Astyanax mexicanus: one gene and its partners. The protein of the gene in region 1 interacts with the protein of each later gene in a biochemical or structural test. Links are inferred from orthologs where the notes say so. Each region holds a gene or a part of one and is shown in the gene's direction. Other genes may lie near its edges.

Region 1 (7,005 bases):
ATCAATGTCAAAAGTCGAGGGCCTAAAAATACAAGTCGGGGGCGCAAAAATACCAGGTGAAAAAAAATAACCAACGTTTTTTAACATTTTGCGTGTGTAAATTAACTTCTCGTGAGCACAAATGTGAAACTAGCAAAAAAAAGGGAACCGTGTGCGCGCTGAAGAAAATATTGCTCTCAAGCTTAATTTTTCTCTTCTCGGGTGCTTTTTTTTTCCTTGCGCAATGTGTGAATTACCTGCAGCAGCTCCTGAACTAAATCACTGAACAGCTAAAGCTCACTTTTTCTTATTATCTGCCTTTTAAATCTCTAACACAGAGGCTACACTGCTCAACATCACCATACTGAAAGTGTTTCACCTGTTTAAATGCTTTAATGTTCCTCTCTAAAGAATAATAATCCAAAATGCGATCCGGGCGGAGTTCGCTGGTGTAGTGCAGAATCGAGTCTTCTGCCACTCCCTGCAGCTGTGCTGTGACCTTAGTTAAGCATTAGCTTAAAGTTAGCATTTTTCTAATTACTACCCTTAAACGATCTCGAAATTTAGAGGATCCAGTGATGTTCAGGAGGTAAATGTAAAACATAATAAAATGTACAGGGTTCTGAACATATTTATTTACCACAGAATGTGGTAGAGGCAAGTTTTTACAAAAAAAAAGGATTGGACTTCAGTGGTCTATGAGCTGATTGGTTGAATCAGGTGTGTTTGTAAGAGGTAAAGCAATAAAATGATTAGGGCAGGGTGTGTCTGAACCAGGATTGAAAAACACTGATTTAGCTGGTCTATCAATACGATCAACCTGATTAAACCCCACAAACAAGTATGACCAAGCTTAAACATGCTAGTTAACCAACATGACCCTCCTCCCCACACTGGTAAACCAGCATGTGAAGCAAAGCCACGTTGGTCGTCCAAAATGACCAAGAAACTCAATGGTTAACCAACATAAGGCAGAGTTTTTTTTCAGGTCATTTTTTATTTTATTAGATTTCCTTCTTTAACACACGGACCTTAATAACGAGCTTTTAATTACCTGATCAGTTGGATCTAGTGTGTTGGGAACAGGTAAATCTCTAAAATTGGACCTCCCGGACCAAGAAATACAGGCAGAGGAGGACTCTCATGTCTTTTCTACAAGTTCACACTCCACACATGGCCTTATGCGCTACAGCGAGCTTGAATTAGTGAACAATCGACAAATCAGAAAACAGGATTTTTTGTTACCTGGTAAGATCAGAAACAGGTTTCGGCTGCAGGCACACAGGGACGAGCTGGAGATGGAAAAGAACCTCCAGGATCATCAATTAATATCCTATCATTGTTTTCATTTGTTTTATTTAGGCTCAACCACCGACGACAGATACCAACCCACTCATTAGCTAACGATTTATTAGCTAATAGATATAGGAATAAAAAGACTTAAAATGAATAAAAAATAAGATAGAATAAAAATATTTAAAACATTCTACTGCAGATTTAAAAAAAAATCTAACCACTGTATAATGTGTTGAGGTCTTTTTTATATAAAATAAATACACACTATAAATAAATAATTAAATAATAAAATATAAAATAAATATTTTATATTTTTTATCAGCACTGGACACTTTAAAATAGTCACTTTTGCTATTTTACAAAATTTATTTATTCATTAATTTATTATTAAAGTATGTACGTCTAAACATTAGATGAATTTAGGACTAGTGTTTTAGGACTTTTTAAATGAATAAATGCATATTTATTATTCTTTCATCTGCACTGGGCATTTTTTAAATAGTCATATTTGCTATTTTATTAACTAAATAAACCTATTAATATTTATTTATTCATTTTAAAAAGTCTAAACACCACATTAATATGTTTACACATTTACATACTTTTTAAATAAATGAATACATTAATAAATATTTATTTATTTAATTTTAATATTTAATTTAAATTGTGGACACTTAAAATAATCATGTTTACTATTTTTACTAACTAATATACTACATTAATTTATTTATTATAAAAAGTCTAAAAAAATTTTTAAAGACCTAAATGTAGTGTTTACATCTATTAAACATGGTGTGTGTTGGAGCACTTGCTCTCTGTAAATAGCTCCGTGATTCTGCTCGCTGCTTTTCCAGGTCATAAAGCTCTAAACTGAGCGCAGTCTGAGAGCTGAAGCAGTATAATATGAGTGTGAGTGTGAAGTGAGCTAGTAAAGAGGTGGATTGAATTGCTGAGATTTTAAAAAGAATTAAAAAATAAAATAGAATAAAATATAAAAAAAATGTTCGCTGCAGTTTTTTAAAAATATAACCACAATGTAAATGTGTTTAAGTCTCTTGAAAAATAGTTACAGTAATATATTCTAAAAATAAATAAATCCTTTTTTTTTTATCTGCACTGGACACTTAAAATATACACTTTTTAGACGCTATTTTACTAAATAAATATGCGTATTAATATTTATTTATTTGTTTAAATGTGTTTAGGTCTTTAAAAAAGTAAATATATATATATATATATATATATATATATATATATATATATATATATATATATAATAGATACATATATATATATATATATATATAATAGATACTTTAGCTATTTTACTAAATAAATGTATGTATTAATATATTTTATTTGTTTAAAAATGTTTAGGTCTTTAAAAACGTAAATATATATATTTTAAAAAAATTTAAATAGATAATTTAGCTATTTTACTAAATAAATATACGATAAATATAACATATTTTATTTGTTTAAATATGTTTAGGTCTTTAAAAAAGTATATATATATATATATATATATATATATATATATATATATATATATATATTTTTTTTTTTTTTTATAGAAACTTTTGCTATTTTACTAAATAAATATACGTATTCATATTTTTTATTTGTTTAAATGTGTTTAGATCTTTAAAAAAATATTTTTTAAATATTTTTCAAATAGACACTTTTGCTATTTTATTAATTAATGATTTTATTTATTTTTTAAAGTCTAAACAGTACATAAATGTGTTTTTTTAAGGATTTTTTAATGACTAAATAAATATTTAATATTTTTTCAGGAGGAGTGAGGAGTATGATGGGAGAAGAATCCGTGTATCATTCGTTCATTTGATATTCAATTGAGAATCAAAATCGGAAAATTAAAAAACCAATTCGTTTTTTCGTTTTTTCGTTTTTGAATATAATACCAAAAAACGAATAACGGCTTGTATTTTGTATTCTTATTTGGTTATCCAAACAAAAATTGGAAATTTAAAAAACGGACCAGGAGCCGAATTTGATTTTGATTTTGAACTTGACCCATTTGTGTGCCCTGGAAGTTACTGATTTGTTTATTCTTGGTGGGTTTCTGTTGCGCGGGAGTTCACTGCAGTGTTATCTACACAGTCTGTATTGCTGTAGGCAGCATGGCCGGACTGGAACCACATTCTGGCCTAATTAAAGATCTTTTTGAAGGTATTAACTAAATATGACATTTAGCTACGGAACGTTAGACAAACACCTGAAAGATCCTGCCGATTTTTTCTGTTGTCATATCGTCTTCTTTCACTGCAACGCGTTTAGTTCCTCTGAACAAGATAAAACTCTCCATCCTCAACTCCATCCAAAGCCTACAGCAATACAGACTGTGTAGATAACACTGCAGTGAACTCCCGCGCAACAGAAACCCACCAAGAATAAACAAATCAGTAACTTCCGGGGCACACAAATGGGTCAAGTTCAAAATCAAAATCAAATTCGGCTCCTGGTCCGTTTTTTAAATTTCCAATTTTTGTTTGGATAACCAAATAAAAATACAAAATACAAGCCGTTATTCGTTTTTTGGTATTATATTCAAAAACGAAAAAACGAAAAAACGAATTGGTTTTTTAATTTTCCGATTTTGATTCTCAATTGAATATCAAATGAACGAATGATACACGGATTGAGAAGGGTGGATTATATGGCTGAGATCTGAGTGTAATCCCTCCCTCTGTCTGAGCTCTGCGCTCCTGCTGAACTGCACCAGGAAGTCCTTCAGGCGGCTGGAGGATCAGAGAGCAGCACGCTGGATGTCTCAGACTGGAGCTCAGCGCTTATACACGCTGTTTACTTTCTCCACACCAGCTCAGACTGCGCTTTATGGAGCCGGAATATCGGTGAGTAGCTCTGCTGCTGCTGGACTTTATTAAAGCTGGGAGTTATTTACAGCGTGGCTGAAGCTGACTGAGTGTAATACACGACTTTAAAGCAGGGTTTACGACTAACTACGACTGCTGGACAGAGTGTACTGCTCTATCCAGTTGCTGTATCTTATTGTTTGTCTTGTTTCACTATTTTGTACGGAGCCCGGGAGGGGCCGTGGATAAAAAAAATAATAAAATCGAGTGAACGATGTAGCAGTTCGTGCTCACGTTTTCTTTAATTCGAGTGAACGATTTGCAATTCGTGCTCACGATTTCTTTAATTCGTGCTCACGATTTCTGTAATTCGTGCGCACGATTTCTGTAATTCGAGTGAACGATTTCTGTAATTCGTGCTCACGTTTTTATGCGCAATAAGACAAGAAGCTCGGAGGGAAAGGAGCATTTTCTCTCTTGATCTGTTACAGGGGTGCAGTAATGATAATCAGTTATCTACCTTTATAACCTGCTGTTATTAATGCACTAGTGTTACAGTTAGATGTACAGTACAGTGAGCAGATTTTGCCTGGTGGTGGAATCTCTACAGCGCGTGGGGGAGAGCCGTCCGCGGCATCGGTTCCCCCGCCGCCAGACACCTGCCCTGCGCGCAGGTCTTCACGGAGCTTATTTACCAACAATGTAGACAAATACAGTCAATTCCAGTCATGAATAAAGGAAACAAACATTTTACTGATGCAGGACAACTGTGTGTTATTAAAACCAGATCAAAACAAAGTTATAATGCAATGTGCAAATGTGTTTATTAATTTCTAAATAACATTCAGCCAGCCTCCAAGGAAATGCACACCTTCTTAAATCTGGTTACATCATTATTACTTTTATGATAGATTTAATCTATATTTTAATAATTTGTATAATAAATAAACACATAATTCAGAAAATATACATTTAAGAAGTTTATAATTATTATATTTTTTTTATTTGAAGCTTGTGGCATGTTTCTGGGCAGGACACTGTGATTTGAGAATAAGCAGATATTCAGGACATTTCATCAGATATAGAAACTTAATTATTTTAGGAAACATATTGGAATAAATTATCAAATTGATCCAAATTATTATATGAAATGCCTATTTACTAAATATCTTAATACATTGTATTAATAGTATTTTAGACCAGCTATTTTGATTTTATATAGTGTTACATATTTAAAGCAGCTCTTATATGAGCCATTCATAGACAACTGTCACACCTTGCATTAATTTTGTATTATCTTTATTAACTTTTACAGTGTACATTTGGACCTAAGTCTTATAGCTGTATATTTATATAATTATACTTCTTTACGTTATACTATTGTTGAAAATAAGAAATTATAAACAGTTCCACATTGCATTATAACTTTGTTTTGATCTGGTTTTAATAACACACAGTTATCCTGCATTAGTAATGTTTGTTTCCTTTAATCATGACTGGAATTGACTGTATTTGTCTACATTGTTGGTAAATAAGCTCCGTGAAGACCTGCGCGCGCGGCAGGTGTCTGGCGGCGGGGGAACCGATGCCGCGGACGGCTCTCCCCCACGCGCTGTAGAGATTCCACCACCAGGCAAAATCTGCTCACTGTACTGTACATCTAACTGTAACACTAGTGCATTAATAACAGCAGGTTATAAAGGTAGATAACTGATTATCATTACTGCACCCCTGTAACAGATCAAGAGAGAAAATGCTCCTTTCCCTCCGAGCTTCTTGTCTTATTGCGCATAAAAACGTGAGCACGAATTACAGAAATCGTTCACTCGAATTACAGAAATCGTGCGCACGAATTACAGAAATCGTGAGCACGAATTAAAGAAATCGTGAGCACGAATTGCAAATCGTTCACTCTAATTAAAGAAAACGTGAGCACGAACTGCTACATCGTTCACTCGATTTAATTGTTTTTTTTATCCACGGCCCCTCCCGGGCTCCGTAATTTTGCTGTTGTTTGTGTCTTTTTTCACACCTTTAGATATACACACACTTCACACCTAGCTCTATAGCTATTAAAGCAGAGATTGGTGGCTGCAGTATTTGAAGTACACCAGCCACAACCACACTGGGTTACAGTGAAGCTGTACTGTACTGTAGTACTAGCTAAACCAGTAGGACTGAAAGTGGCCTACGAAAACAACTGGAGGGTAAAAAAAAAAACCCAAAACAAATACTGTTTTTCCACCAAGCTTAATGTTGAACAAACAATTAATGCAGCTACATAGAACGTCCAGCATATACAGTTGTATGAAAAGGTTTGGGCACCCCTGATAATTTTTATGATTTTCCTTTATAAATCATTGGTTGTTCGAATCAGCAATTGCAGTTAAATATATCATATAGCGGGTGAACACAGTGATATTTAAGAAATGAAATGAAGTTTATAGGATTTACAGAAAGTGTGCAACAATCTTGGGCACCCCAACAGAAAAAAATACATCAATATTTAGTAGATTCTCCTTATGCAGAAAATGCAGCCTCTAAACTCTTCCTATAGCTTTTTTCAGTGAGAGTCTGGCTTCTGGTTGAAGGTATTTTGGATTATTCTTCTTTACAAAACATCTCCAGTTCAGTCAGGTTTGATCGTTTCTGATCATAAACAGCCCTCTTAAAAAATAAATCACACCACAGATTTTAATAATATTCAGGTCTGGGGACTGAGATGATTATTCCAGAACGTTGTACTTGTTCCTCTGCATGAATGCTTTAGTCGATTTTAAGCAGTGTTTAGTGTTTAGGGTCGTTGTCTTGTTGAAGTATCCAGCCCCGGCCCAACTTCAACTTTCTCACTGATGCCTGAACATTGAATGTCCTTGAAAAGCTACTTTATTTC
Region 2 (7,061 bases), on another chromosome or scaffold:
GTAGCTCTCCTCTCTTTTCACTCCCCACACCCTCCAACTCCCGTCCAAGCTGTCACCTTTTCTACTGAGTCTCTGATGGCTTTACTGGGCCGGGAAGGGGGAGAAAATGGAGGGGGGAGAAAAAGAAAATGAATGAAAGAGAGAGAGAGGGAGAGAGCGAGTGAGAACGGAGATGGACGGCTCCATTGACACAGCAGCCTCTCACTTTCTTTAACAGCCTTATTAGCCGTCCCTTACCAAGTGAAAGAGGACGTTTCTTTTCTGCAGGCTGAAAAAAGAAAAAGCAGGCAGGCTTTCTTAAAGGGGGAGAAGAAAAAGAAGAAGAAGAAGAAGAGAAAATAAGAGGTGAAAGCATATTAGCCACTGCTCCCTCCTCTCCCAAACCCACTACGTTTTTTTAGTAAAAAATTTTTTTGGAGGGGAAAGGGTGAGGGGTTTGTGGTGGGAGGGGGGTGGTCCTTGAAAAGGCCCTGTCCAATGGAAGAGACAGCTTGGAAAGAGAGAGAGCGAGAAAGAGAGAGAGAGAGAGAGAGAGAGAGAGAGAGAGAGAGAGAGAGAGAGAGAGAGCGCAGTAGGGGGGCCCCCTCTGTCTCTGACGTTTAGAGATCATTAATCAATCTGCCCCCACCTCAGCGTTAAAGCTTGGAGATAAGACCCCATGAAGAAACCCACAAGGCGCTGCACGTAGAGACTGTATGCTCTATGGAACATAAAATAAACTCATTCCAATCTTGGAGCAGATTTGGGCAAATGCATTGTATCCCCTTTTTTTGGCATTTTTCACTTAAGAACAAATAAAAATGATCCAAACTGAGTTTTACTCATATAGTACTATATACAGTACCAGTCTAAAATTTGGATAAATCTTATCATTCAATGTTTTACTTTTTACTTTTAATGTAGAAACTTAAAAGTATTAAACAAACCAAAATACTTTAGGTGCTCTTATCTGGGATGATGTTAAGTTACAGTTTCTGAGACTGATAACTCTGATGAACTTATCCTGTGCAACAGAAGTAACTCTTGCTTTTCCATTACAGGAGTGGTTCTGATGAGAGCCAGTTTCATCATAACGTTTTTGATGGTCTTTGTGACTGCACTTAATGATACTTTTACAGTAGTTAAGAAGTTCTTGCCATAATATGGATTAGAACGTTACTCAAATAGAGCTATTCACTGTATACCAACTCTACCTCTTTACAACTTCACAACTGATATACAGTATATTAGTCAATGGTTTCTCAGTCTTTCTTGGTTTCTCAATCTATTCCACTGACAGTAAAAACTATTTTTTTTTGCTTTTCTAAAGAACATTCTTTCTTCATTTGCAAGGTTCCCGCAACTCTGGTTAAAATTAAACAACACAATTTTAAGCGTGATTTCAACCCCAATTTCCAGTAGTGGTGAGTCTGTGCTAGTAGTCTCTAGTTTGTAGACTCTGGTATAGTGGGAGCTGACAGTTGGACTGTAAGTTGTGTAGTGTATGCCGGGCTGAGACTTTTAGTGCTGATTTTTAGTGTCAAAATCACATCGGACTTCAGTCTGACCAAAATCAAACATTTAATTTTCCAACCCGATTTTGGGAAAATGGCAAAAACAAAAAGCTTACAATAATTTAAAAGTTGCCATGAAGAAAGATGTTAAATTTACCCAGGTTTAATCTCTGCACACGTCAGCTACAAGTAACAAGAGAGATAATAGTAGACAGTACTATTGGTTCAGTTTGGGTCTGTTTTGCTGCTTTTTAAAAGAGTTTAAATGACCGACATTATGCATTAAGCAAACTGTGCATTTATTATATAGCTATAGTTTGATCACAAATGATCTCTCTATATATTTTTACTTACTTGGCCATTTTTTCACTTTGAACATTATAAAGTGCCATTACCAGCTCCCTGCAACCGATGCCTTCCCCTGAGGTTCAGAACCCCTGTGTTCCAGCCAGTCTTGTTTCAGCATGGCTGTCATGATTATTCTCAGTGACAGGCCCGTTGCAACAAGGCAAGCAAACAAATCTATTGCCTAGGGCCCCGAGCTGGCCTGGGGCCCCCAGATAACAACTGGTTGTGAATTAAATGCAAGGCAAACTATGTGAGCACCCCTTTAAATTCTGTGATGGTCAATGCAGGAAAGTAAAACAACACTGTTATTAGAATCCCCCTCAATGGAGCCCCTCCCACTAATTGCTGACAGTAGCCAGTCAGCCGTGCTTGTGATTCTTGCAGCTAGCAAAATATGAAACTTCAGTGATTATGAAGTGGAGTTATCCATCAAAAAAAGAGAAAGAGAAAACAAGCCATGTGATAAGAAAATAAGTGTTAAGTGATATTTAACACTGGATCAATGAGGCCCACACATACAAATGTTGTAAGGTAGATTAGCAACACAATATATGGATGATGTTTATGTTACCTACCAGCCTGGCAGTCAATGCTAGTAATGAACTAGAACAGCCAGTGCAACAAGTTAGTTGAAAGGGCTGATAATATGGTTACATACTGTAATGTTATATTAACAGGATAATGAAAATCTGTTTTAGATTCACTGTTTATAGTATAACATGACATTGCAATAAACATTACAATAGTTAAAGGAAAACTCCAGTGTAAAATTGACTTTTGGTGTAGTAAAACATGATAAAGCTCTTTGAAAGTTATTAATGCCTTGTTTTAAATGTCAGGGCTCTCCAGATTCTACCAATGAGGTGTGAAGCTACTATGAGCCTGGATAATGGTGTTAAAAGTGATTTATCTGCAGGGACAAAATATGCCCCATATCATTTATTCTAAAGCATGTTTGGACAAAGGAAATAAAATTACATGATCTCTGAAAGCTGCAAAAGAATAGAGGTGGCCTATTCAACAAAGGTTAGTACTCCTTATCACATTTTACTACACCAAAAGTCAATTTTACACCAGAGTTCTCCTTTAACTTTTTTAACATTTTAATCGTGATTACCTATCTACCAAATTTTGAGTTGTAATAACCTATGATAATTCTGTGCATCATATAACCAGACTGGAATAAGTTTAGTAGTATCCATACATGTCAGCTGTTCAATGCCTTCAAATTCTTAAACAGCAGAATGCTTAAACCTGTTCTAAAAGTAACATTAGAATGGGGTGTTTTTAAGTTGTATTTCTGCTAAGTGTAAACATCTGAAACTAATATTAACAGTTAATGTTCACATTTTTTTAAATATATTGGCTTTTACAGTTATTTTGCCCTTTTTTATACACTGCCTGGCCAAAAAAAAGTCACCACCCGGATTTAATTAAATGATGTGAGGTTGCTGCAGTTGGTCAGGTCTAGGTTCAGCAACAGTAGGTGCTGAAAGAATGAGGTCAGCTGACTACCTGAATATACTGAATATAGTCCCGGTTATTCCATCAATGGATTTTTAATTTCCTGATGGAACGGACATATTCCAAGATGCCATTTCCAGGATTCATGGTGCTGGAATTGTGAAAGAGTGATTCAGGGAGCATGAGATCATCATTTTCCCACATGGATTGAGAGAAAGTTCACCACAGAGTCCAGATCTTAACCTCACTGAGAATATTTGGGATGTGCTGGATGGAGAAGAGATGCTTTGTGCAGAGGTCAGACTCTACCATCCTCAATGCTGCTGCAAGATCTTGGTAAAAAATTAAAGCAACACTGGATTAAAATAAATCTTGTGACAGCTTGTGGAAAGCTTATTGGAACAATGCCACTCCAAATGCGTGCAGACTTTTAATTTGGTCAGGCAGTCTGTTAGTTGTTATGGGATAGAGGTGGGTTTACATGGTGGGGACCTGTTTTGCTTGGGGCCCCAAAATACTTTGAAACGGCGCAACTCAGTGAGCGAGCGGGGCTGCAGGTCCGAGCGCGCGCGGATGAGGGAGTCGCAGCAAAAATCAATGCGCGCGGTGTGCTCAGGCTGGCCAACAGGCGGCGTGCTTCTCGGGGAAAATAGTGCGTGTGGTGTGCTGCTGGTGCTGCTGCTCTGGGGGAGGGGTAGGTTCTCTCCCACTGGTGAAAAGTTCGAGTTTTTTTGCAGCAGCAGCAACAGGAGGAGGAGGAGGAGGTCTTCAGTGAGAGCAGAGCTGAGGGGTTTAGAGCAGAGCAGACCCGGGCAGAGCACCGCGGAGGAACCTCAGCTCAGCTCAGTGTCTGGACTCGCTCAGGACTGACTGGCGGAGGAGCGAGAAAAAACTGCAGTGAGGAAACGGATCGGGTTTCAGGGGGGAGTGACATTTCTTGAGGGGCTGGAGAGAAAGAGGGAGAGAGAGAAGGAGTGAGGGAGCTGCAAGAAGAAGGAGAAAAAGAAGAAGAGCCTGTAGCCTAAACCTGAGTGAGAAAAGCGTCTGAGAAAAGCAGCAGGAGACTGTCCGCGGACCGTGTCTAGCAGGATGTATACCCGGGCGAGGCGCTCCGTCTCCGGCTGCTAAAACTCCGCTTTACCCCCAGCCTTGGAGAACCGTGGGGGCTGTTGTTTTTTTTAGGAGGTGGAGGAAGACGAGAACGACTCTGCGGAGACGGACTTAACGGAGAAAGACAGAAAGTTCTGGGTGTTTATCGGTGTTTTACTGGAGTTTTACAGTGGATTTACTGGTTCGCTGCTGCTGGATACGGATCCGGGCTGGCAGTGATTTTGGAATAGTGAAGACTGGGCGATTCAGCGGAGTTTTTCTTATTTTTTTGAGGGGTTTGGAGCGGAGTTTGGATATATATCATCAGTCTGCCCATATGCCCCCGCCTGCCTGCGCTGTTTGTGCGGATCGGGATCCTCAAAACTTAGCGGTGAGTTTTCGGGCCGCAGAGTTATCGAGCAGCGCGCGGAGCGCAAACAGCGGCGGAGCCTGAGCGCCCGCGCGCCCGCATGTTTTTAGCGCAAGACGTGATTGAAACGTGGCTTGATGTGGACAACACGTCCCGGGCGCTCTGCCTGCCTGCTGTTTTAGTTAAGCCCAGCTACCCTAAACGTTTAATAAACGTTGATCGAATAAACGTTACAGTTTATATCTTTTAGTGTTAATGGAAATAAAATCAACATTTATCAACGTTTATTTAGCGAAAGGCTTTGAATAGTGCTATTAAGATAAACAAACGTTAAACAACCTGTTGACCCTAAATTATTGTTTAACATAATATGCCTGTTATGCATTTGTGTTCTCACTTTGACATCGAATCAACATTCATTTAGCGAAAAGCTTTCAATAGACGTTTTTTTTAGTTTTATTGCATTGTTTTTATTTTTAGTAATGTTTATAATGGAAATACAAACAGGTATTAAGTTATATAGTTAAAATCCTTTATTTTAACATTGAATCAACGTTTAATAGGCGAAAGGCTTTGAATGCTTGGGGAACTTTTACACTCACAACCCTGAAACAAAATGTGGGTTGTATTAAATCTACTTTAAGTGTTGACAATAAAAAGAAAAGCAAACTTTATCAAACATCAAATCAACGTTTATTTAGCGAACGGCTTTGAATAGTGAAATAAACTTTAAACAACCTCACTTTCGACATCGAATCAATGTTCATTTAACTTAAAAAGCTTAAAACAAAAAGCATTGAATACACTTTGATTTTTATGTGGGTTGTATTACGTGTTTTGATGTTTATGATAAAAAAGCAAAACAACCATTGTTTAACATTGAATCAATGTTTGTTTAGCTGAAGACTTAGGATAGTTGGGACACTTTTGCTCTCACACAACCCTGATAGCAAAAAAAAAAAATTGGGCTGCATGACATCTTATTTTAATATTGATGATACAAAGAAAAGCAACTTTTAGCTAAACAACCTTTATTTCACATCAAATCAACGTTTGTTTAGCTAAAGGCTTTGAATGGTCAGGACTACACTCACAGTGCTTACATGCGGCTAAAGGTGCACCTCACAAGTCATATCTATAATAATATTTATTATAATAGTAGGTTCATCATTATTATTATTATTTAAATGGCCCTCTCTGCACTGCAAGAGCAAAGAGTGTTAAAGTTGAATAAAAACAATGTTAAATCGATGTTGAATCAGAAAACGTTGTTTTTAGTGCATTAGAGGTTAACAAATAATAAAAGTTGATTCAAAAAGGGCGTTGTGTAGTTTGTGTTGGAATGTTTAGTAGCAATAATCTATAATCTTTTTCATTATGTTAAAAAGCAACTCTATTAAATTAAACAGAATTGAATGAATTTAGGTCAGAAAATAACAGTATAACCCAGTAAAACTTTGGTCAGACACAAGATTAAACATTATATTAGTGGGTGGAGACATTCATTCATCTCATTTAAACAGATTGCCCATTTACCGACACCTAAATGCATTGTTTGCATAAAAACAGGATCGTAAATCTGTGATTGTGAATGCACTGGCACTGAGTGATTGTAATGTGAAAGGGATGATGGTGATGAGCTTTAACGTCTTTAGATTATTTTCTTATAATTAAAAGCAGGAGAAAACTAGTCAATAGTTAGCTAGTGATTTAACGGCTTTGTTTTTTACGCAAATAAATTAAAAAGTACCTAAACTGTACATAAAAAAAAAAAAAGCAATGAGGGGTGTAGGGGTGGGTGATATGGCTCTAAAAAATAATCACAATACTTCAAAGCATTTTTGCAACAACAAATTTCAAGATTATACTACCTCAACACAAGAAATAATAAAGTTGTTAAAGTACATGCAGTAGAAATAAAAAAGTCTATACATTTTTATCTAATTGTAAACTTAGCAAGACACTTCTAATTTTGTATTAAATGATACCTAATAAAAATAAAGAAATCTACTACAAAGAAAGCCAATATAGTGCATGCATACAAACTGCAAACAAAAAATTTAAAGTAAATAGAATAAACTGCTTTCAAAATATCGCTATTATTTTTTTATCTTGTCAAAAATGGTTGTGATGTTATTGCATGTGATAAGATACAGTGAAATAAACTCACTGCATTTGCTAACTAATGTTGCCATGCAAAGAAATGCTAAATTTACGCAGATTTAATCTCTGCACACGTCAGCAACAGGTAATGAGAGAGATGATAATTAGCTATTAGTAGATATTAGTAGATAAAG
Region 3 (7,405 bases), on another chromosome or scaffold:
ATATACAGCTCTGGGAAAAAAATAAGAGAGCACTTAAAAATTATGAGTTTCTTTGATTTTACCAAATTGAAAAGCTCTGGAATATAATCGAGAGGAAGATGGATGATCACAAACCATCAAACCACCAAACTGAACTGCGTAAAGTTATCCAAAAGCAGTGTGTAAGACTGGTGGAGGAGAGCATGATGCCAAGATCAAGCATGAAAACTCTTAAAACTTTATGAATATATTGTTTTCTTTGCATTATTTGAGGTCTGAAAGCTCTGCGTGTTTTTTTTTTTAATTTTTTTTTTATTTCAGTCATTTCTCATTTTCTGTAAATAAATGCTCTAAATGAGAATATTTTTATTTGTAATTTGGGAGAAATATTGTCTGTAGTTTATAGAATAAAACAACAATGTTCATTTTACTCAAACATAAACCTATAAATAGAAAAATCAGAGAAACTGATTCAGAAACTGAAGTGATCTCTGAATTTCTGAGCTCCTGTTTTATTATTATTCAGTGGTACCAGTTGGTGGCACTATCTACCTGTGAAAGAGCCTCAAACCTGCAATTCTGCAGCGGAAGGAACAGGACTGCAGTCATGCTGGCTTACAGTACAGTATATACATACCATCAGCATTATATACCATTAGCTTTATATACCATCAACATCATTCACTAGTGGATTTTTAGACCTTGAGCAAGGACATCTTTGTTACACTGGGTTTCTTTCACATAAAAATATTGTATCTCCATTTTCGTCATTTCTAATCTTCAAATTTCAAACTGATATAATATAATCTATATATATATATATATATATATATATATATATATATATATATATATATATATACATCTCTGGAAAAAAAGTAAGAGACCACTTCATTTTCTGTATCAGTTTCTCTGATTTTGCTATTTATAGGTTTATGTTTGAGTAAAATGAACATTGTTGTTTTATTCTATAAACTACAGACAACATTTCTCCCAAATTACAAATAAAAATATTCTCATTTAGAGCATTTATTTACAGAAAATGAGAAATGACTGAAATAACAAAAAAGATGCAGAGCTTTCAGACCTCAAATAATGCAAAGAAAACAAGTTCATATTCATAAAGTTTTAAGAGTTCAGAAATAATCAATATTTGGTGGAATAATCCTGGTTGGTTTTTAATCACAGTTTTTTTAATGCATCTTGGCATCATGTTCTCCTCCACCAGTCTTACACACTGCTTTTGGATAACCATCCATCTTCCTCTTGATTATATTCCAGAGGTTTTCAATTTGGTAAAACCTTATATTTGTTTTCTTTACACTATTTCAACAATCATTCAGTGTTTTTCTTTATTTCTTTATTTAATGTATTTTCTACATTGTAGATTAATATTAAAGACATTAAAAACGATTAAGGGACTTATATGAAATTATGTAGTAAACAGTAAAAAAAGTTTTATTTCTCCACATTAATCTCCTGATCTAAAGCTGATGAACTGAGATGGTGATTTGAGGTGATTTAATTGGGAGGAGCTGGAGCTTCACAGTGTGAAGGAAAAGCAGCAACTATTGTTCAGCACCTCCAGGAACTCCTTCCTTCAAGACGCTCAGAAAAATATTCCAGGTGACTCTCCCTCAGGAAGACACTGAGATTAAAATCTCACCAAGAGTCTGCAGATCTGTCCTTAAAGATAAATATGATACTTGTTTAGAAGAATCTAAAGTATAATTTTAACATATTCTGGTTTATTATTAAAAATGTTTCTGTGGAGCTTTAATATAGACTTCAATATTAAATTTACAATGTGAAAAATCATAAAAAGAAAGAAAACACATTGAATGAGAAGAGGTGTGTCCAAACTTTTAACTGGTACTGTACATGTAAATATAAAGAGTCTATAGACTGTTACCTCACAGTTTAAGGGTTTTGGAATCAACTCATTTTACAGTTCTGCACTAAACTTCTTTATTTAACTCTACCCAAATGAATATAGATAAATACAATCATTTAACTCTGATTAAACCGTGTCTGTTAAAGATTCTACTGTAAATTGAAAAGTGTTTTTACATTCAATAAGCTTTCATCATATGTTAGATTAACCATTTTTAGGGTTTATTTTATTGTATTTTAGTGCATTAGTGCAGTTTTTTTAGCTCTTTGTTGTAAAAAAAAGCCTTACAAACACAAACTTATTGTTTGGACAATTAATTTAAATCATATGTGAAAAGTGAAAGCTCTTGAAAATGATTTGAGATCTTCTTTCTCTCTCTGTCTCTCTCTCTCTCTCTGTCTCTCTCTCATTGTTTTGAGCAAATATCTCATTATTATGAGATGATTTCTCATTATTTTGAGACAATATCTCACTTTTTTTCACACTCTCTAATTAATTTGAGATGCTATCTCATTGATTTCTCTATTCTAAGATAGTAAGTCATTATTGTGAGACAATATCTCACTATTTTGAGACACTCCTTTTAAGATGCTTTCTCATTGATTTCAGATAAAAAGTCATTATTTTGAGACAATATCTTACTATTTGTACTATAGCATCCCATTATTTTGAGACGCTATCTTATTATTTTGAGATAATATCTTATTATTTTGAGATGATGTCTCATTATTTTGAGATACTAATTGGCTGTTTTAAGATGTAATTTGCTGATATAGTATCTAAAATAATGATTTAGTATCTCAAAACAATAAGATAGCAATGTTTTTAAATAAAGATTAATATGAGGCGATGCTGAAGAAGGTGAGGAAGGAGGAGGCGATGCTGGAGAAAGCGATGCTGAAGGAGGCGATGGTGGAGGAGGCGAGGATGGAGGAGGTGAGGGTGGAGGATGCGATGAGGGAGGAGGTGATGCAGGAGGGGTGAGGGTGGAGGAAACAATGCTGTAGGAGGTGATGCAGGAGGGGTGAGGGTGGAGGAGGTGAGGGTGGAGGAGGTGATGCAGGAGGGGTGAGGGTGGAGGAGGTGAGGGTGGAGGGGTGAGGGTGGAGGAAGCGATGCTGTAGGAGGTGATGCAGGAGGGGTGAGGGTGGAGGATGCGATGAGGGAGGAGGTGATGCAGGAGGGGTGAGGGTGGAGGAGGTGATGCTGTAGGAGGCGATGCAGGATGGGTGAGGGTGGAGGAGGCGATACTGGAGGGGTGAGGATGGAGGAGGCGATGCAGGAGGGGTGAGGGTGGAGGAAGCAATGCTGTAGGAGGTGATGCAGGATGGGTGAGGGTGGAGGAGGCGATACTGGAGGGGTGAGGGTGGAGGAAACGATGCTGTAGGAGGTGATGCAGGAGGGGTGAGGGTGGAGGAGGTGATGCTGTAGGGGTGAAGGGTGTGGGTGGAGGAGGCGATGCTAGAGGAGGTGATGCAGGAGGAGGCGATGCTGGAGGGGTGAGGGTGGATGGGTGAGGGTGGAGGAGGTGATGCTGTAGGAGGCGATGCAGGATGGGTGTGGGTGGAGGAGGCGATGCTAGAGGAGGTGATGCAGGAGGAGGCGATGCTGGAGGGGTGAGGGTGGAGGAGGCGATGCTGGAGGGGTGAGGGTGGAGGGGTGAGGGTGGAGGAGGCGATGCTGGAGGGGTGAGGGTGGTATATATTTTCTCATTGTTAAGTAAATTGCTATCTCATTATTTTGAAATACAAAGTCTGCAAAAATCATTGTCAAAGAATCACTTAGTATCTCAAAATTATGATCTCATTATTTTGAGAATCTAAGATATTATTTTGAAATAACAGGTCAATCATTTATAATGCTGTCTCAATTCTTTTTAGATAATAATGGACTGTTTGAAGATGTATTTTGCTAATATAGTATCTCAAAATTATGAGAGATCGCATTAAGTCATTCATTTATGATGCTATCTCATCATTTTGAGACACTAGCTCATAATTTTGACATTTTGAGATAACTCAATATTTTCAGATGCTATCTCATTATGTTGAGAAGCTATCTCATTTTTTATATTTAGTATCTCAGAACAATGGTTTAGTACATGAAAGTGGAAGTAATTCATGTTTATTAAATGTCACATTATTTTAATATTTTGAGATAATATCTCAGAATTTATGTTTGTATCTCAGAGAAATGGTTTAGTAGATGTTATCAGATGTAATGAAGGTTTATTAGATGTTATCAGGAGCTGCTAATGTTTATACAGCAGGTGGATGTGACGTCAGTCAGACTTCGCAGCAGCAGCAGAATGGAGAAATAACTAAATATAAATCCGCTGCTTTATTTCTCTCTATCACTCTCTATCTCTCTGTTTTATCTCAGGGCGCTGAGAGAGAGAGAGGGGAGCGGTAAATCCGCCGGTTCGGTACCGCGGGGAGACCCGGAGTTCCGCAGACCCCGGTTAGTTAGTCCCTCCGCGCGGAGTGATACCGCCGCGCACTTTACAGCGTGCTCCGCCAGCGCACGCGCTCCTGCTGCAGAAGAAGTGCCGATAGTTGATATTATTACTACTACTAACTCCTGCGTCTCCTCCGCGCGCGCTGCTGCGGTAAGTTCAAACAGATACATTGTTTCTACTTTCTTTTATCTCTCTTTTTATGTGTAACGCGCGCGCGGCTCCGCTGTCCCGTCGCTCCGCGAGCGCCCCGCTGCTGTACCTGCGCTCGCGCGCTGTTTCTAAGGTGAGGAGGAAACTAGACAAGTAAACAAACAAACAAACAAACACACAAACACGCGTGCGCGCGCCAGGACGCGAGTTCCTTCTTTTAGCGCAGGAACGAGATAACTGTCCGCTTTAAACAGATAAAACTGCACGAGTTCAGTCCCGCGAGACTCTGACTGATTCTGCCGTCTGATCCACAAGTTACCCGCTCAGATCAAAGTAGCGAACCGCTGCTAAACAAAGTTACAGAGACACATTGTAACCATGCATGAAGCACAACACACACTCTCAGTGCACGCTCTACTAGTTACTGTGCAGGTAAATCAACCCCACGCGCACTGCTGGCAGCAGCCGTTTGCACGTGCAACTAGTAACTTGTAACATGTAACATCTAGCTTGTGTGTAACGCTGTTCTTGTGTTTGTAAAGTTTGCTGAGTTTGTGAAGGAGATGTAAACTGTGTGGCACCTATGAGTGGTGGCTTTGGCTACATATGTGTAACGTGTAACACTGCCCTTAAGTGTGTGAAGTTTGTAAAGGAGGTGTAACACTGCCCTTAAGTTTGTAAGTTTAAGTTGGTAAAGGATGTGTAGCATATGTGTTGTAGCTTTGGCTACATACATGTAAAGTTTGTAAAGGAGGTGTAAACTGTTACAGATAACACTGCCCTTAAGTTCGTAAAGTTTGTTGAGTTTGTAAAGCAGGTGTAGACTGTGTGTTGTGGCTTTGGCTACATATGTGTAAAGTGTAACACTACCCTTAATTTTGTAATAAATGTGTAGACTGTTACATGTAACACTGCCCTTAAGTTTGAAAAGTTTGTTGCGTTTGGAAAGCAGGTGTAGACTATGTGTAACGTGCAACACTGCCCTTAAGTTTGTAAGTTTAAGTTTGTTAAGAAGGTGTAGCCTGTGTGTGGTGGCTTTGGCTACATATGTGTAACGTGTAACACTGCCCTTAAGTGTGTAAAGTTTGTAGAGGAGGTGTAACACTTCCCTTAAGTTTGTAAGTTTAAGTTTGTAAAGGACGTGTAGCATATGTGTTGTTGCTATGGCTAAATATGTGTATAAGAAGGTGTAGCCTGTGTGTGGTGGCTTTGGCTACATATGTGTAAAGTGTAACACTACCCTTAAGTTTGTCAAGTGTGTTAAGTTTGTAAAGGAGGTGTAGCTTGTTACATGTAACACTGCCCTTAAGTTTAAATTGGTAAAGGAGGTGTAGCCTGTGTGTTGTGGCTTTGGCTACATGTGTGTAAAGTGTAATGTAACACTACCCTTAAGTTTGTAAAGAAGGTGTAGACTGTTATATGTAACACTGCCCTTAAGTTTGTAAATTTGTTGAGTTTGTAAAGTAGGTGTAGTCTATGTGTAACGTGTAACACTGCCCTTAAGTTTGTGAAGTGTGTTAAGTTTGTAAAGGAGGTGTAGATTGTTACATGTAACACTGCCCTTAAGTTTAAGGTGGTAAAAGAGGTGTAGCCTGTGTGTAACAAATAATACTGCACATAAGTTTGTAAAATTTGTTGAGTTTGTAAAGGAGTTGTAGCCCATGTGTGGTACTTACAAGTGGTGGCTTTAGCTACATATGTGTAAAGTGTAACACTGCCTTAAGTTTTTGAAGTTTGTAAAGGTGTAGACTGTGTAACGGGTAACTCTGCCTTTAAGTTTGCATGTGCAATGTGTAACATGTAACACTGCCCATAACTTTGTAAAGTTTGGAAAGGAAGTGGAGCCTGTTGTGTTACATGTAACACTTCACTTAAGTTTGTAAAGTTTGTTGAGTTTGTAAAGGAGGGGTGTGTGGTGTCTGACTACATGTGTGTAAAGTGTAGCACCGCACTTACTTTTATTTTGTAAAGGAGACGTAGCCTGTGTGTTATGTGTAACGCTGCCCTTGAGTTGGCACGTGTAACATGTAACACTGCCCATAAGTTTGTAAAGTTTGGAAAGGTGTAGACTATGTTATGTGGAACACTGTTCTTAGGTTTGCAAGGTTTGTTGAGTTTGTAAAGAAGGTGTAGCCTATGTGTTGTATGGAGGTGTAGTCTGTGTTTTACGTATATTACTGCCTTTATGTTTAAAGGAGGTGTAGCCTGTGTGTAACCTGTAACCATTAATTTTGTAAGTTTGTAAAGGAGATGTAACCTCTGTGTTGCATGTAACAATGTCTTAAGTTTGTAAAGTTTAAGTTTGTTGAGTTTGTGAAAACTTGTAAACATTTGTAAAGTTTGTAAAGGAGGTGAAGCCTATGTGTTGTGTTTAACACTGTCCTTAAGTTTGTAAAGTTTGTAAAGGAAGTGGAGCCTATGTGTTGTGTTTAACACTGCCCTTAAGTTTGTAAAGTTTAAGTTGGTAAAGGAGGTGTATTACTTAAGATACTTAAGTAAGTGGTGGCTTTGAGTACATATGTGTTATATGCAATGCTTCCTTTAAGTTTTTAAGGTTGTAAAGCAGTTGTAGCCTGTGTGTTACCTGTAACACTGCCTTTGTAAAGGAGGTGTTTTATTTTGTTACACTTATGCTTTTATGAAACAGACCGATGTTTATTTTTTTTTGTTTTAACTGAATGTATAAAACCCTTGTAGTTATAGTAAAACATTATTATTATTATTATTATTATTATTATTATTATTATTATTATTATTATTATTATTTGTATTACTACTACTACTACTACTACTACTACTACTACTACTACTACTACTACTAATAATAATAATACTAATAATAAAAGTAAAATAATAATAAAGTAATTTATCGTTGCAATATTGTTATCGCAAAAACATCCTGAAACATTGTGATATATATTTTA
Region 4 (7,439 bases), on another chromosome or scaffold:
CACTGAATTCCCCATCATTATTTTTATTTAAACATAACTAATTAAACAACTGGTACAAAACTATACATTGAATAAAACTCATAAAGCAAAATTTAGCAGCAGCAGCTAAATAATAATTAGCATTTTTGTGCTGTTCTGTTTTTCTTCTGTTCTGTTTAGAAAGTGCTGATGATCAGCTGACAATGTGCAAAGTTGTCAGTCTTATTGAGCACAGTGTGAAATGGGAGGATCACAAATTTAACACACACCTGATTCATTCAGGTAACTTCCTGTGATGTATTTTTATTGTTGGATTTCTAATAATGTTTATATAATATTTATAGTTTGGACACTGAGTGTATGAAATAATTTTTCACTCATACTTTTAATATTTAATAAAATATATGAACTGTACTTTTACTGTTATAACATTACAGTTAATGGACAAACTGATGCAGTGTGAAAATCTTTCTTTAGGCTTAGGTGTGTTTTAGCAGAAGGTGTCGGGAGTCGGACTCTGGCTGTGAGATTTATTTCTTTATTTCTATTGATCAGAAATTAATGGCATCCATATTTTCTGCAGTCGTTGGTAATGATTAGTGTCTAGTCTAATCCATTTTCACCATTATTACCTTTCAGATCACACACCCTGAACTACTGAAAGGGGTAAACATGGTTACAGGCATCATCAGTTTGTTTTTTGCTGTAAATCTCTTTTATCTAAGAGTAAAAAAAAAACTTACAGATATTTCTTTTATCTCTTTTTTCTTTCCCTCTCCTTCATTCCCAACTCAAAAGAAGACCCTGCTCAGGTTAATTGGAGGAGTCTTTAAGGTTTCCTCCAAATGGGAAATAAACTTTTTTTCTGTTCATAGAAAGTAAATATGTTGTCGTCTGCAATCTGTGAAAATGACTATATCTAATAATTGCCAATTAGGAGAGCTAGACATGCATCACTTTCAGATGGGCAGCGTTGAACAGTTTGAACAGTAGATATGTCTGAAAAACAGAATATGTTGATCTAAAATTTTTATATACTTTTCTGCATTAATGCTGTCCCCACATAAATGTACTGTGACACAACCTCATACTATAACAGATTGTAGCTTTTTGGACTTGCTGTTGATACATCTGAATGTTCCTTCTTGTCTTTAGTCTGAAACACGCAATATCCACTTCTTCCAATAAAAAATACTGATTAAACTGAACACAATAAATATTTCTATTCTTTGATGGTCAGTCTCAGGATCCTCCAAGCCTAAAGATGTTGACGACATTTCTTGGCTTGGTTTAGGTAAAGCTTGTGTTTTGGACAGTGAAGTTTAGGTGGTGTTTGTAAATGTAACTCTGGATAAATGTTTGCCAAAAGGAATTGCTTGCTTTGTTGTATCGGCTGTTGACTGGGGGTTCTTGATGCAGAGCCATCTGAGGAATCTGAGACAGAAATATGACAAACAATGAACAAACAATGAATAACAAACAGCAACCTAACCTACAAGTGTACTTAGACTTTGCATTAACACCTACGCTATTCACACACACACAGACGCACACATGGACATAAACTTGCAACTTCAATGCAGCATGTGTTGATCTATTGCAGAAGCAATAAATACAATTGAAGAAGAAATCCATTTCACCTTCTCACTAAACAAACAACTTCACTAGAGTTCACTAGAGACCTAACTGTGTTCACCTGGTCTTGGTTTAGTTGTGTGTTATTACTGTATTCACACCTACCAAAATGAATCAAATTTGTCATTTTGTAACTTACGTAAAATTATATATTTTTATGTGGCAGCAGGGAGGCCGGACTATAAAACATTTTTACAGATTTTTTTACATTGTACTTTGAAGCCTATGTCTTTTCTTATTGTTCTGTAAAATCAGTGTCCAGTTTGAGTTTCCATGTACTTTTCATTTTACCAAGAAAATGTAGCTCTAAAGCCCGAGCTAAATCTTGAAAGTAAGAGATTTCTCATTGAAGTTGAGAGTTAAATGGTCCTCTCATTGCTGATTAGACGGAAGATAGGTATAATCTGTAAAATGAAAGATTGGATGTCTGTGATCATCTGCCTCCTAATGATGGTATCGATAGCTCAGAACGTCAGACACCTATAATAAAAATAATAGTTCTTTTGGTGACCCCACTGCCTACAATTGCAATTCTTATTTGAACATGAAAACAGGAGATCACTGGGTGTGTAGGTTTTTTTTTTGTGTGGGGGCAATAAATAGCCAAGGCGTGTTATAAGGTATAAGTCAAGAGAACCTGAATGAATGCATTTAAAAATGTCCATTTAGGGGACGAAATCCTGTCTTTTAACAAGGCCCTGAAAATAAGTAAATCTGCCCAGCATATTCTGAACACTGCTTTTCAAAACAAATCATGGGCTGACTACAAGTAGTTAATTTGTGTATTCTCAGTACGTATTCCCAGTACTTGTATTCCATTACAATCCAACCCAGCAGATGGCGAAGTGTCAAATTTTTTTTCTGGGCCAGCTGTTGGTAAATGCAATTCAAGACATACAGCCAAAACTCGAGAGGTATAATGGTTGGGACCTGATGACAGTTGGGGCCAATAACAGGAATCATCTTTTTTCTGTATGACATTTGTAAGTAGAGCAGTATTTCAAGCTGAATTAAACTGTGGTTTTGTCAGCACAGCTGCTGTACATGGTCTGGGAGTTTAGTATCATGGTTGTTTTCCCAAGAGTATTTGGCTTTTCAGAGCAATATGGGATTAATATTTAGAAGTAGGCCTTTTTTAAAAGTATGTCTTGATGGAATGGAATAGTTTCCAAGAATCTGAGAAAAAACAGGAGCAGGGAAATGGAAAGAAAAGAAAGCTCTTGATTTGAAGGTTCCTTAACAAATACCCTTCTGGCAATGCTAATTGTGTCTGTCAAAGAGTCTCAGATGTATTAGATTAAGTGGCAATATTGCATTACATTTTATGACCTAAGTGTTTATAACACAGCTTTGTATAGGAGACTTTTGGAGTTCTGCTGCAGGGCAATTGTCTATTAGGCAAATGTAGCAACCATTATCTGTACAAATAGGATTTTCTTTATATATTTGTCCTTTATGGAGGTGCCAGGATACGTTCTTATTTCTGAAATGGAGGCATTTCAGATCTGTTAGAACAACATATGCAGAATAAACCACAAGACACTGATTAAGGCATGTAGCTTTAGGGGAGATAGAAATCTTAGATTTAAGAGTTTCTCACTGTGGCTAAGCAATCACTGGTCTTGAAAACAAGCTTTTTTGGTAAATGTGGGTTAAAAAGAAATACATTGATATGCATTGCTGGTTTGTTGTGGCCGTGTTTGCGGACGGTGTGTTAGTGATGTTCAAATATGAAAATATACTCCCATCTAAATTATCTAAACTGGTTAGTTTTTGCCCATGGTGGTTTGTACAAAAATATTTATCACAAAATATGAGACTATTGCGATTTAAAAATATGACTTCTACACCTCAAATGCACTGAATATCTGTAGTATTCTATGATTAAGATACATGTAGCCCTAAGTTTAGCATGGCTAATGGGATACACTGTTAAGATATAGTGTCAAGTCATTCAAGCTATAATAGAAACTTAACACATTAATTATAGTACAACAAAACGATACAAAAATATTCCTAACTTTATATGAAAAAAATATAACAAGATTTTCTGTAATACAATTCAATATTAATCCAAAACTATCCGATTCTTTGTATTGATGCATCCAATGTGCTAATATTAGGCTCATATAAAGGTTCAGTATTTAATATTTTGATATACTCTTTATCAAATTTTCAGTCCATTGGGAACATTTCAGCACTGAAATTAAAGACAGGTGTAGCTGACAATTTTTGGAGGAAAGGCTGATCTGATGGTCAGTAAAACAATCCACAAAATCGGTTTCTGACTAATCAGTCAGTCTGACTAATCAATCAAGTAAATTTGAATTGAGTTTATCAGAGAGAGTTTATCTGAGGTATTTTATTTGAGGTAGTTTATCTGAGGGAGTTTATCTGAGGCAGTTTATCTGAGGGAGTTTATCTGAGAGAGTTTATCTGAGAGAGTTTATCTGAGAGAGTTTATCTGAGGGGGGTTTTCTGAGGTAGTTTATCTGAGGGAGTTTATCAGAGAGAGTTTATCTAAGGGAGTTTATCTGAGGGAGTTTATCTGAGAGAGTTTATCTGAGGGAGTTTATCAGAGAGAGTTTATCTAAGGGAGTTTATCTGAGGGAGTTTATCTGAGGGAGTTTATCTGAGAGAGTTTATCTAAGAGAGTTTATCTGAGGAAGTTTATCTGGTGTATTTTATTTGAGGTAGTTTATCTGAGGGAGTTTATCTGATGTATTTTATTTGAGGTAGTTAATCTGAGGGAGTTTATCTGAGGGAAGTTGGTCTGAGGAGGAGACTTCTACCCTGAAGGTCCGAGTCTGAGCCGCTGCCCTCAGATCGGTTTATGCAGGAGGTGGGAGTTGAGTCCGGGAGGGAGGAAAGGGGGGAAATGATAGTAAATCCACTCAGGTCCTCTTGAATTTCGTGTTTCTGCGTGTTTTTACTCCGCTGTTTCTCCCGCTCTTCCCGCGCCGAGGAGAGAGAGGCGCGCGACACCTGAACCTGAGGAGTTTCCCGCGCCGCGCGGAGAAAACCCGCGAGTTTAAATTGAGGAGATTAAATCCGGAGATGAAGAGAGAGAGCCGGGTTTTCTGTGGGATTTGGATCGGGCTCGCCTCTTTCTCAGGTGAGAAACTTTACCTAGATAACTCTCAACACAGGCTGCAGATAACCGCTGTGTGTATGTGTGTGTGTGTGTGGTCAGTATGTTTTTTTCGCGTTTTTACTGAATTTTCTCATTAATGTTGCTTTTTTCAAGAAATAGTGAGCTTCTGTGTAAAATTCAGTAATTCAGAAATGTAGACTCTGGTCTATTTTACAGTTTTAGAGTTTAACTACAGAGATGTTTAAAAGTGGGAACCCTTTAAATATTTGCCACTTCTAAAAGTGCTGAAAGAAAACAAAGATAATAAACATTCAAAAATAAGGCAGAAATATTAGATAGAAATATTAAACTTTTAGTCAGATTATTTCTTAGGGTTGTTGTCTTGCTGCATGACCCACATTCTTAGCTCAGGTGTTCTGACTTTTTCCTTCAGAACTGGCTTTAGTCCAAATCCACTGTTACATAAATGATAAGAGGCCATCCTTGCCCAAAGACCCAATCCATAACACTACCACCACTGTGTTTCACAGATGGATAAGTTTTCTTTTTTTAAATTTTGGGATGCAGCAATTTTATATGGATGAAAATTCTCCTTTAGTTGCTTGGAAGGTACAATGGGTTAATTTATAGACAATTCATAACATTTTGTCTGATTTGTTTGATTTGGATCTTTTTACCTCATTTTAGGACTTGTTTTAAGAAAATCTGTAGAAGTTGTAGGTTAAATTATGCAAAAATATAAAACACTCAAAAAGGTCGGGCACCACTATATTCTGAATGAATCAGTAGTCAATAAGAGTATATTTCACTTAGATTTGAGTCGATTGAATCCTATTAAATTAATATTTATAAGGTGAAATTGATAAACCATTTTTTACATTAACTTGTCACTCAGAGATAAAAGTTGTCATGGACTGCAGCTTAATGCCACACAAAAAACTGATTTGGGCAGCAGTCCATCATTATTAACTAGTGCAGCATCTCAGTAGCAGTAGACAGTTTGTTGTTATTGGACACTGGTGCACTGGCCACAGTTTATGAGATGTCATTGCTAATATTAAAGGTAATTTGAGATTGAATGCAGCTCATATGCTTCCCTCCTAAGCTTAGCAAGCTGCCATACTTAACAACCAAAATCTTTGCTTGCATACTTGCGGGCATATATATTGGGAACCTAGCCATCTATGTGATGGTCCAGAGAAGAGGATGAATGAATATTTGGATCCACAGAGCATCTTCTCTGTCTATGTTTATCTTTAAATTAATCTAACAATTATGGTAACAAGCCACAAAAGCCTTTAGATGATTAAGGATAATGGAGTAGATTTCATCAGATTGTGCAGCTTTAAAGGTGAAGTAGATTGGTTAGAGCATGGCATGTTAAGCACTGTCAGGAAGGCCTACCTGAAAGTCTGCAAGTCAAGCATCCATGTCAGATCCACTTGTCAATTTGACAAGTTTTGGCAGCAGCAGTCACACTTTAATTTAAAATGCTCTTTTCAACAGAACAGCACTTGGTCTGCTAAAGTCATCAGTTACCGACAACAGGAAAACAGCCCTAATACAGCCTTTATTCACTTTTCACCTCATTAGTGACTTTATTGTTCTTTCAAGAAATTATAATTGGCTTCTGTTACATAAGGGATCACTCTGTTCAAGCTGACTTTGGGTTATATGTCAGTTCTGTTCATTATGATAATCATGCATGAGTGTTTTTAATTGCAGTATTTTCATCTGCATGATAGCCCACCTCTGTGAGGAATATGATGTCTGCCAGTCATAATATCTAGAGGACCATTTAAGATGACAAAAGCCACAGAATCTGAGGAATCAAAACATGGGAATATTCTTATAGCAAACTCAAGCATTCTGAAGGATGTGGTGCTCTAGTGTTTGGTATGGAAGGTTCATCTCAATTAATTTTGAGTAAAAATTAAGCTAAGAAAGCAGCCGTCATCACAGGTGTCAGTTAGTGAGATCCATGAGGCATCTGAGGAGAACTTGAAGTGTTGCTGAGGCGTTTTCCAGAATCCCTGCACCTTGGGTGGAGTCTTATGTGAAAATATGTCCTCCCTTAACATTTGGAATCCAGAGCCATAAAAACCCCAGATATATGTCTCTCCCTTAAACTCCATAATCTTCATCTCCACAAATAAATAACACATGGAATCTTGGTGGCGCAGGGAATTTGCCTAGGCTACCAAGATTTTCTTGTAGTGAAGACTGGGTCCAATTATTAGAAGTGGTCCCCAATTATTTAACCGAGCACTAACCTTAACTGAGGCAAAAATGGGAAAATTGCAGCTTGGAGGGACAAAAGAGATGATTGTTATTTAATCAGAAACAAAAGCCTGTTCAACAGAAAAGAGCCTAGGGCTGCAGAAGAAGTTGTCCACATTTATTGATTTCAAGTAAGCCTGAGTTGTCCTTTAATGCAATTTCCTCAAATGGGCAACATTTAGCCCCTGAGCTGGCTGATATTACATTTCTACCATTTTAGTTTTGTTTGGTTTCTAAAATCATCCTCAAAATCAAACAGCGCAGGGAACTGCTGCAATAAACATGGTAATCGAAAAAAAAAACATGTAAAAACACTCACAGCAATGAATCTCCTACATGAAAGTTGGAGTAGATATTTATCTTAAGTCTCAGAAGGAAAATCCTCCACTTGTCCCTTTCGTCGAACGGCTCACTCACTGCAATGTGTTTTATGTTACCATACTGGTGATTA

The links.
Region 2: the proteins of lrrk1 (region 1) and fgfr2 form a complex in vitro, tested with the Homo sapiens proteins (2 studies listed by BioGRID and IntAct, with this or other methods). The link is inferred for Astyanax mexicanus from reciprocal best matches to the Homo sapiens genes LRRK1 and FGFR2.
Region 3: the proteins of lrrk1 (region 1) and foxp1b form a complex in vitro, tested with the Homo sapiens proteins (2 studies listed by BioGRID and IntAct, with this or other methods). The link is inferred for Astyanax mexicanus from reciprocal best matches to the Homo sapiens genes LRRK1 and FOXP1.
Region 4: the proteins of lrrk1 (region 1) and flt4 form a complex in vitro, tested with the Homo sapiens proteins (2 studies listed by BioGRID and IntAct, with this or other methods). The link is inferred for Astyanax mexicanus from reciprocal best matches to the Homo sapiens genes LRRK1 and FLT4.

What each region holds. Positions count from the first base shown.
Region 1 is NC_064423.1:9,982,327-9,989,331, reverse strand, and holds the start of lrrk1 (leucine-rich repeat serine/threonine-protein kinase 1), read left to right. Parts: upstream 1-4,001; 5' UTR 4,002-4,151; intron 4,152-7,005.
Region 2 is NC_064414.1:11,917,884-11,924,944, forward strand, and holds the start of fgfr2 (fibroblast growth factor receptor 2), read left to right. Parts: upstream 1-4,061; 5' UTR 4,062-4,785; intron 4,786-7,061. UniProt on the Homo sapiens protein: Tyrosine-protein kinase that acts as a cell-surface receptor for fibroblast growth factors and plays an essential role in the regulation of cell proliferation, differentiation, migration and apoptosis, and in the regulation of embryonic development.
Region 3 is NC_064412.1:2,033,462-2,040,866, forward strand, and holds the start of foxp1b (forkhead box protein P1-B), read left to right. Parts: upstream 1-4,387; 5' UTR 4,388-4,481; intron 4,482-7,405. UniProt on the Homo sapiens protein: Transcriptional repressor. Can act with CTBP1 to synergistically repress transcription but CTPBP1 is not essential. Plays an important role in the specification and differentiation of lung epithelium.
Region 4 is NC_064417.1:66,119-73,557, forward strand, and holds the start of flt4 (vascular endothelial growth factor receptor 3), read left to right. Parts: upstream 1-4,420; 5' UTR 4,421-4,671; coding exon 4,672-4,729; intron 4,730-7,439. UniProt on the Homo sapiens protein: Tyrosine-protein kinase that acts as a cell-surface receptor for VEGFC and VEGFD, and plays an essential role in adult lymphangiogenesis and in the development of the vascular network and the cardiovascular system during embryonic development.